Callithrix jacchus: one gene and its partner. The protein of the gene in region 2 purifies or fractionates together with the protein of the main gene of each other region. This does not show direct contact. Links are inferred from orthologs where the notes say so. Each region holds a gene or a part of one and is shown on either strand. Other genes may lie near its edges. The genes, in order: NDN and NGFR.

Region 1 (3,913 bases), on a different chromosome or scaffold from region 2:
CTCCACAAAATATTTTTTTGGCTGGAAATTCCAAAAACAAGATGAAAATTTCTTAATTTACACAATCAGAATAATCTTGCTTTCTCCAAAATATTGTGAGAACTAGAAAAATAAAATTCCTAGCCTCTCTCTCTGTGTGGCCCATGAATGCATGTGAGTGTGGGAGGTGGGAGCTGGGAGTGTGGGCTCCCACGTAAAATGTAAAAATAAGTTTGAAAATAAATAACCTAAAAGCCACAGGGTGTATGAGGGATTGTAGGCAGGTGGGGACAAATGTGGGCTCTGGATTCATTCTGAGTTGAAGTGCCAGCTCCTTCTCTTGCTAACCTTTACAAGCTATGGAAAGTTAATTACCTACATTATTCCTGTTTCCTCCATGGTGCAAAGGCAGTAGATGCCTTCCTCACAGGCCTGTTGTGAGGGTTAAATAAAAGGGGAAAAATACATGTTAGGGCTGAGTACAATGTCTCACTCTTTAAGTGCCCACAAGACATCCATTAATTTTGATAAAATATAGAAACTTAAGGGAAGGAAGTTATTTTTAGTTTTTATTCTCATATGATGTGATGATGGACAATCATACTGCTTTGTTTTTATACTTTATATTTGTGCATGTTTTTGAAATAAACAATTACATTTAAAGACAATAAAACTATAACCTTCACAAATTTAGGAGTAATCACGAGTAGCGATTTTTCCCACCCTATTAGGGGAAACAGTTACATCTGTACACATTGTAAAATAGAGAATTGTCTCATTCCCAATCATAGTGCTCTGTTAAAATGATAAGAGTACACTTTTCCAAAAATGATTGTATCACAAGAATCTTTAATGTTTACTTTAAAGTTGACTCACGGTAGGGTTGTATATGTGTTTAGTAAATTGTGCCAAGTGCTCACATTGAGACCAGTCCAGTTCAAATCAGTTTACTCCACGAGAATGTCTTCTGTGCCCAGCAAGGTCACGAAGAGCCTTGACTTTTCTCTTGGTTAGGCCAGCTTTGCTGGTGAGTTCTTCCAAACTCTGCAGGAGCAGTCTACCCCAACACACATCACCAGTCCCATATAAAATAATAAGATGCAAACTTTCTCAAGGTACTTCGTCAGTTTAGCATGTCTCAGGTACAAAAATCCAAGAAAGGTAGCACAAAAGCGAAAGCACCAACCAAGCTTACATATAAACAAACATGCATACATCCTAAATACTACACAAGAGTACCCAAATGAATACAACATTGCATTAAAGGTATAAAAGCACTGTACTGAAAACTTAAAAGTTACACGTGAATACTGCACTGTAAATCCCGAACACTCTAATGACCCACCCCCACCCTTCCACAGCCCCGGTGAGGGTCAGAAAGCATTTCATCTGCCTCCAGACCTTGCTAGTCCTCGGAGACACTGTTGCGGGGGCAGTGAGCAGCGGGATTAGCCTCCCGCAGAGCTCTGGCCTCCTCCAGGGCTTCTCTGTATCGGGAGGGCCAGGCCTGGGGGTCTTTCTTAAAGACCCTGGCCAGGAACTCCATGATTTGCATCTTGGTGATTTCACGGCTGGCCCGGGAGCCCCAGAAGAACTCATACTCTGGCGGCTCCACGTACGGGACGCGCTGGTACTTCAGGTAATTCTGTTGGACGAACTCCTCGGTGATGAGCTTTCGCACGTCCCCGAAGGTGGAGTGCTTCTTCCAGGGCCGCAGCCCCAGGATGCGCAGCACGTTCCAGACGGCGCTCTCTCTGGCGCCGCGGCCCTTCACGTAGATGAGGCTCAGGATCATGAGCAGGAGGCCCGTCATGGGCATGCGGTTGCTCAGCGCCACCCTGTCCAGCTCCTCCGGCTCCAGCGCTTTGACCAGCGCAAACTCCATGGTGTGCAGGCTGGTCAGCCTCAGGTGCAGCCCGAACACCCGGGCGAGGATGAGGCTGGTGCGCCGCAGGATGCTCCTGCACCACTTCTTGTAGCTGCCGATGACATCTTTCACCATGTCTGGAAACCAGATGATCATCTTCTTCTGGTCCTTGACCAGCACGTACCACATGAGCTCGTGCGCCTTCTGCACCAGCTGCGCCGGGGCGGGCGGCGCCGGGCCGGGCTGGGCCGCGCTCGGGGCCTGGTGGGCGCGGCCCTCCTCTGCGGCCTCCAGCAAAGCCTTCGGGTCGACCTCCTCGATCGGGGCCTGGGGCGGCTGCGCGGCCTGCGGGGCGGCCGTCGGGCCTAGGGGAGGGCTCTGCGGCTCCGCCAGGGTCGCGGACGGAGGAACCCCCCCCGGAACCCCAGGGCTGCTCTGCGCCTCGGAGCTGGGTGCCTCGGCGGCAAAGCTAGGGTCGCTCAGATCCTTACTCTGCTCTGACATGTCTGCGCCGTCTGGCAAGGGCAGGGCCTCTGCGTCCAGGAGCTCTTCGAGCCTGCGCTCCCTCCGCGGACTCCTGGAGAGGAAGTGCGCGTTGCTGCGCGCGGCGCCTTCCGCAGCGGCGGGCAGGGCGGGGCGGCGGCGGGACGCGGCACTGCGCCTGCGCGACCGCGGCCAGGGCGGGCGGGCGGCCGGGGGCGGGCGGGGCCGCGAGGGGCCCCGACGGGGAGGGTCCGCGGTGAGGCGTCACCTGGCGGGACAGCGATCCCGGGGTTTCCTGTTCCGGCCGAGGAAGTTCAGGGTAGGAGAGGAGGGAGATGGATGCCTGTGGAGAAGGAGCAGGTTTTGGGGAAAGATGATAACTCAGGTTTTGGGGATGCTGGGGTCGACTTTCCTGGGAAATGCTCGCCTGGGTATATCCAGAATCCAGTTAAGTATGAGAGCCCCAGAGGAAGGTCTGGGAGGCTGTGCAAACTGGAGCTTTATGTGAACGAGTGAGAGGAACGGTCGGGCTGTCCGAGAAGACGTGTAAACTGTGAGGCGGATGTCCGAGGTTGGAATCCTGAGAAATTCCAATAAAAAGTTGATTGACTCCCTCCCTACCACATCAGAGGGGTTATAAGGAAAGGAGAAATGCGGTTATAAGGAAAGGAGAAATGCAGCGTGTCGTTAACGTGATTTCCTACCCGCGTGAGCCGTGAACTTGTTCAGGAGGCAGTGGGCTTAGACCATCATTGATGCTTTCATGGGCATAGGTTTGGCTTTTACACTTACTTTGAGTCACTTTGATTCCATTTTCTTTTATTTTTCCATGCTTAGTCCATAACAGAAGGATTGCCATATCTATTAGCACAAACTTGTATGATAATGCATTTTTCCCTCTGCCCAGCACCTCATTCTCCGATTCACCTTCTCCCAGGACCTTCTCTGAAGCTACTGAGTCCTCAGTGTTGGGAGTCACACCCAAATCATTCCTTCCTGAGATCTCCAAAAAGATATAGGTCCCATGGGCAATATCTGGCGGTGTCTCAGATGACCAAAAGGTAGCGGGGGCAACATATGGATAGCCCTGTTTTCCAGTTATAGAAAACAGATTCCCAGTGGGCCAAGGCAAAGCTGTCACTCCTAGAGGCTGTCCGTGGAAAAAGGGGCATTGCTGGAGCCTCCACAACCAGGGGCCTCCATGCTGCTTCAGCATCCTTGGTCTGCGTTGATGTGGTCCTTCAGCCCTTGCCGGGTTCCCTCTCATCAGCAGCTTCTTAAATATGTTGTCTCGAGTCTAGTTATTGCCACTTGAAGCCCAAAGCATGTTTTAAAATTGTCTTGACATGTCTAGAGTCCTCACTATGAGTATCTATCTTTTCTCATTTGTCACTTTAATTTTCCTCAAGCAGGTTGGTGTTGAAGGGTTTTCTGTGCTTTCTCTGGTTGGGTTGGCATGCATGTGACACTTTTGACAGGGCCATTCCCACGCCAGTCCCTCCAACAGGACTCTTTGGTCTCTTTAGCTTCCCACTCCACCAGGGAAATTCATAGATATCAGTCTTACTTGGAATTATTTCAACA
Region 2 (3,813 bases):
CCGAAGGAGGAGGGTGCTCCTGAGGGCGTGTTCATCCAGGACCCTGTTCCCCTTTCAGCTTCAGGCTCTGAAGGGTTAAATGTCAGCTCTGGGACAACAGACCATTTCAGGAAATGGAATTTGATTCTTGGTTTGGTTGCCCCCTCCCCTCCAGTGTACCATACTGCCACACATGTACGTTTCAGGTGTCAACATGGTGACTCACCCACCCTCAGGGCAGAAGGGCTCCCCCCAGTCCCAGTGAAATTCGGGTTGGGTAGGGATAACCTGGTCCCTCCTTCCAGCCCGGAAATAGCTGTCAGGACCTGCCAAGGGCTTAGTGGGTTGGAATGCTAGTGGACGCGGCCACATCTGGATCTCATCCCCCCACCCCAGTCAGAGAGGGTTGGAGAGATGAGGGCAGCTCCCTGAGAGCCAGCGCTGCCTCTGGTCTGGCCACACCTTGCCACCCTCCCATCCTTCCCCTACCATGCTCTGATCTAGGTGATGGTCTCATTCACCGGCACCCAGCCACGCACACTCCTTCAGCCTCTGGCTTGGGGTCAGTCTGAGCTGAGCTGTGTCTCCAGCCTCTGGGCTTGGGCTGCCCCCCAGCTTGCTCGGTCCCCTGGGAGAGCAAGAGAAGACCCTCCCCGGTCCAGCGCTCCACCTGGGGCTGCCAGAAGACAGGGCTCCATCTCCTTCACTCCCTCTGCTCCTCCCAGGACTGAGACAGGAAGGGTGGGATGGGGTGGCAGATGGCAACCCCTCACCGATGGCAGCCAGATGGATTCCGGATTCATATCTGGGGGCTTTGCCCCTCAGAAGGTGCTGAAAATCGGCCTTTGAAGCATTTTCATCTTGAGTGGAAGAGGTCACAAGATGGGTGGGCGGCTTCCATTCCTGCTTGGGTGGGCAAAGTGGGGGTAGGGTGGGCAGAGCTGGGAGCAAGGTATTCTCCCCTTCACCCCACTGGCATGTCCTGTCTGCTTTCCCTCCCTGCCTCAGGCATGGGAAGTGAGGAGGGACGGGGCAGGCAACTTTGCCCAGGCAAGTTTCCCCAAACTGTCCAGAGCCCACGACCCCTAGCACTGCTCCTGGCTGTGTGGCAGAATGGAAAATCCCACCCACCAGTGCCAGGAAGGGCTGGGTTCCTGCCAGGGAGGCTGGCAATGCCCACTTAGCACGAGAGGTTCTAGGTGGGTGGCAAGTCACAGTCAGCCTCCTGCTGAGGCAGTGAGCTGGACCTGTCTCATGGGCCCCCCTCTCCACACTCTCTGCTTTCTGACCAAGGAGGGTTGGGGCTTGACTTGATGCCGTCTTCTCTGGATGGGAGGACCAGGCTAGGTGGGAGCCAGGCGAGAAGGAAACAGAGGCTGGCCACTGTCCAAGGGCTGGCTGGAGGGAGGCAATGCAGCTGCCCCACGCCCCTCCTCTCTCCCCAAGCCTAGAGCCTAGGACGTGAGACTGGAAAAGTTGTGGGGGTGCAAAAAATTGAGGTGCAGCTCCCAGGGAGGTGGTGTGGGGAGCACTACTCTGACCAGACCTGAATACCCTCTTCTTTCCTTAGGACAGGAGTGACTGGGGTCATCTAGGATAAGCTGGGGCCAGAGACACATTTCCTGGAGTGGTTCCAGCTCGAGGCCTCTCTGTGGCCAGGCTTCTTTGTGTGTTTGCTCCCATCCAGGCCTCTGGGTACACAGGGAGATGGACTAGAATTCCAGGACCACAGCCCCAGATGGAAGGGAGCTTCAGACGGTCTCTTTTAATAGCCCCATTAGATAGATGAGGACACTGAGTTCCTGAGAGAAAAGGGGGCTGGGCCAGAGTCACCCAGCAAGTCAGTGATGGAGCTGAAGCCGATGCAGCTCTGTGCGCTTACAGGCCTTGCTCTTGAGCGTCATGACGTTGGACATACGATCCCAGCCCCCACTCTGCATGACAGCTGGGCATAAGAGACCTGGAGCCAGGGCGGGGACATGGGAAGAAGGTCAGACCTAAAAGGGAGGGGTGGGGAAAGTGGGTCCTCACTCCTGTGGCCTTTTCTCCCAGAGATCCCTGGCCGTTGGATTACACGGTCTGTACCCCCTGAGGGCTCAGACATCACAGCCCCCAGCACCCAGGAGCCTGAGGCACCTCCAGAACAAGACATCATAGCCAGCACGGTGGCAGATGCGGTAACCACAGTGATGGGCAGCTCCCAACCTGTGGTGACACGAGGCACCACTGACAACCTCATCCCTGTCTATTGCTCCATCCTGGCTGCTGTGGTTGTGGGCCTTGTGGCCTACATAGCCTTCAAGAGGTGAGAGAGGGCATGGTGGGAACAGAGAAGGGAGATTTTGCCCTCAAGGAAGACTTTGCCATGACCTTGACCTGAAAACACACACACTCTTTTAACTCAACCCCAAACCAAACTCATCTTCACTCATCATCCGCTGCCCCACTCCAGGGTGCAGCAGCTCAGTAGGAAGTGAGGGGAGAGGACCCACCTGTCCTGTCCTGTCCTGCCTCCAGCCCCTTCCACTCCCATGCCACACCACTCCCTGACTCCCAACCCCCTACTGCTTGTGTCCTCATCCCCCAACCTCCTTCACCCCACCATCACCCGTGTGTGTGTGTGTGTGTGTGTGTGTGTGTGTGTGTCTCCTCTCCATCCCTTGTCACACTTGGAATCCAGGAATTCGGGATGTGCAGGAACTCCCAGAAAGCATTTTATTTTATTTTTTATTTTTATTTTTTTGAGATGGAGATTTGCTCTTGTTACCCAGGCTGGAGTGCAATGGCATGATCTCGGCTCACCGCAACCTCCGCTTCCTGGGTTCAAGCAATTCTCCTGCCTCAGCCTCCTGAGTAGCTGGGATTACAGGCATGCGCTACCATGCCCAGCTAATTTTTGTATTTTTAGTAGAGACAGTGTTTCATCTTGTTGACCAGGATGGTCTCGATCTCTTGACCTTGTGATCCACCCACCTCGGCCTCCCAAAGTGCTGGGATTATAGGAGTGAGCCACCGCGCCCGGCCTCAGAAAGCATTTTAAAGCTTTAAATGCATTTTCCATTTTTACTAAAACAAACAAACAAAAAACCATCAAAGTGACACATGCATGTTTAGGAAAATGCACACAAGACAATATCTTTCAAACAGAAAGTGAAACTCCCCTTCCATCTCTTCAAATCCTACTCCCCTCCTTATTGGAATCTGTTTGGAATGGATCCTTCCCATTGCCAACTATTTTCTGCGTGTCTTTTTTATAAACATGTATATAAGCCTTTTATAATGACATGTAAACACAGAGGGCTTTTTAGGTATCAGTGGGATCACATTGTACATATTCCATAGCTTACTTTTTTCACTCAGCCTCCCTCAGGAGACCTTTCCTCAGGAATGTAGATTAGCTGATCATTTGTAACCACTCATTCAATAGTATGGATGGATGGTAATTTATTTAGCCAGTGCCCTATTGATGGACATTTGTTTTTTTTTCTCCAGTTTTTTGTTATTGCTTATAATTGCAGAGAAAATCCTTGTATATATCACTGCCCGCATATGGGAGTACTTTAGAAGGGTAGATGGGGAGAAGTGGAGTTAGTTCCTCAGCACTGCTCATTTCAGGAACATTTACTGAACAGTTACAGAGGCCCCCTCTGCCCTCATGGAGCTTTCAGGGTAGGCGGGGCGGGAGGGGGGTGGGGGGGGCGTTGGGGGGGCAGATACGTAAAGAGGAGCCTTAGATGCTGAGGTGGCGGTTAATAGTTGGGCAGCTGCCATGCCCCTGGCCCTAGCATGGCAGAGCACAGATACGTCAGCTGCATCTACCATTACAGCCCCTCT

Evidence for each region.
Region 1: the proteins of NGFR (region 2) and NDN purify together in Homo sapiens (affinity purification with western blotting; 3 studies listed by BioGRID). This does not show direct contact. The link is inferred for Callithrix jacchus from reciprocal best matches to the Homo sapiens genes NGFR and NDN.

What each region holds. Positions count from the first base shown.
Region 1 is NC_133507.1:5,529,679-5,533,591, reverse strand, and holds NDN (necdin), read right to left. Parts: upstream 2,439-3,913; 5' UTR 2,351-2,438; coding exon 1,385-2,350; 3' UTR 539-1,384; downstream 1-538. UniProt on the Homo sapiens protein: Growth suppressor that facilitates the entry of the cell into cell cycle arrest.
Region 2 is NC_133506.1:116,797,563-116,801,375, reverse strand, and holds part of NGFR (tumor necrosis factor receptor superfamily member 16), read left to right. Parts: intron 1-2,031; coding exon 2,032-2,284; intron 2,285-3,813. UniProt on the Homo sapiens protein: Low affinity receptor which can bind to NGF, BDNF, NTF3, and NTF4. Forms a heterodimeric receptor with SORCS2 that binds the precursor forms of NGF, BDNF and NTF3 with high affinity, and has much lower affinity for mature NGF and BDNF.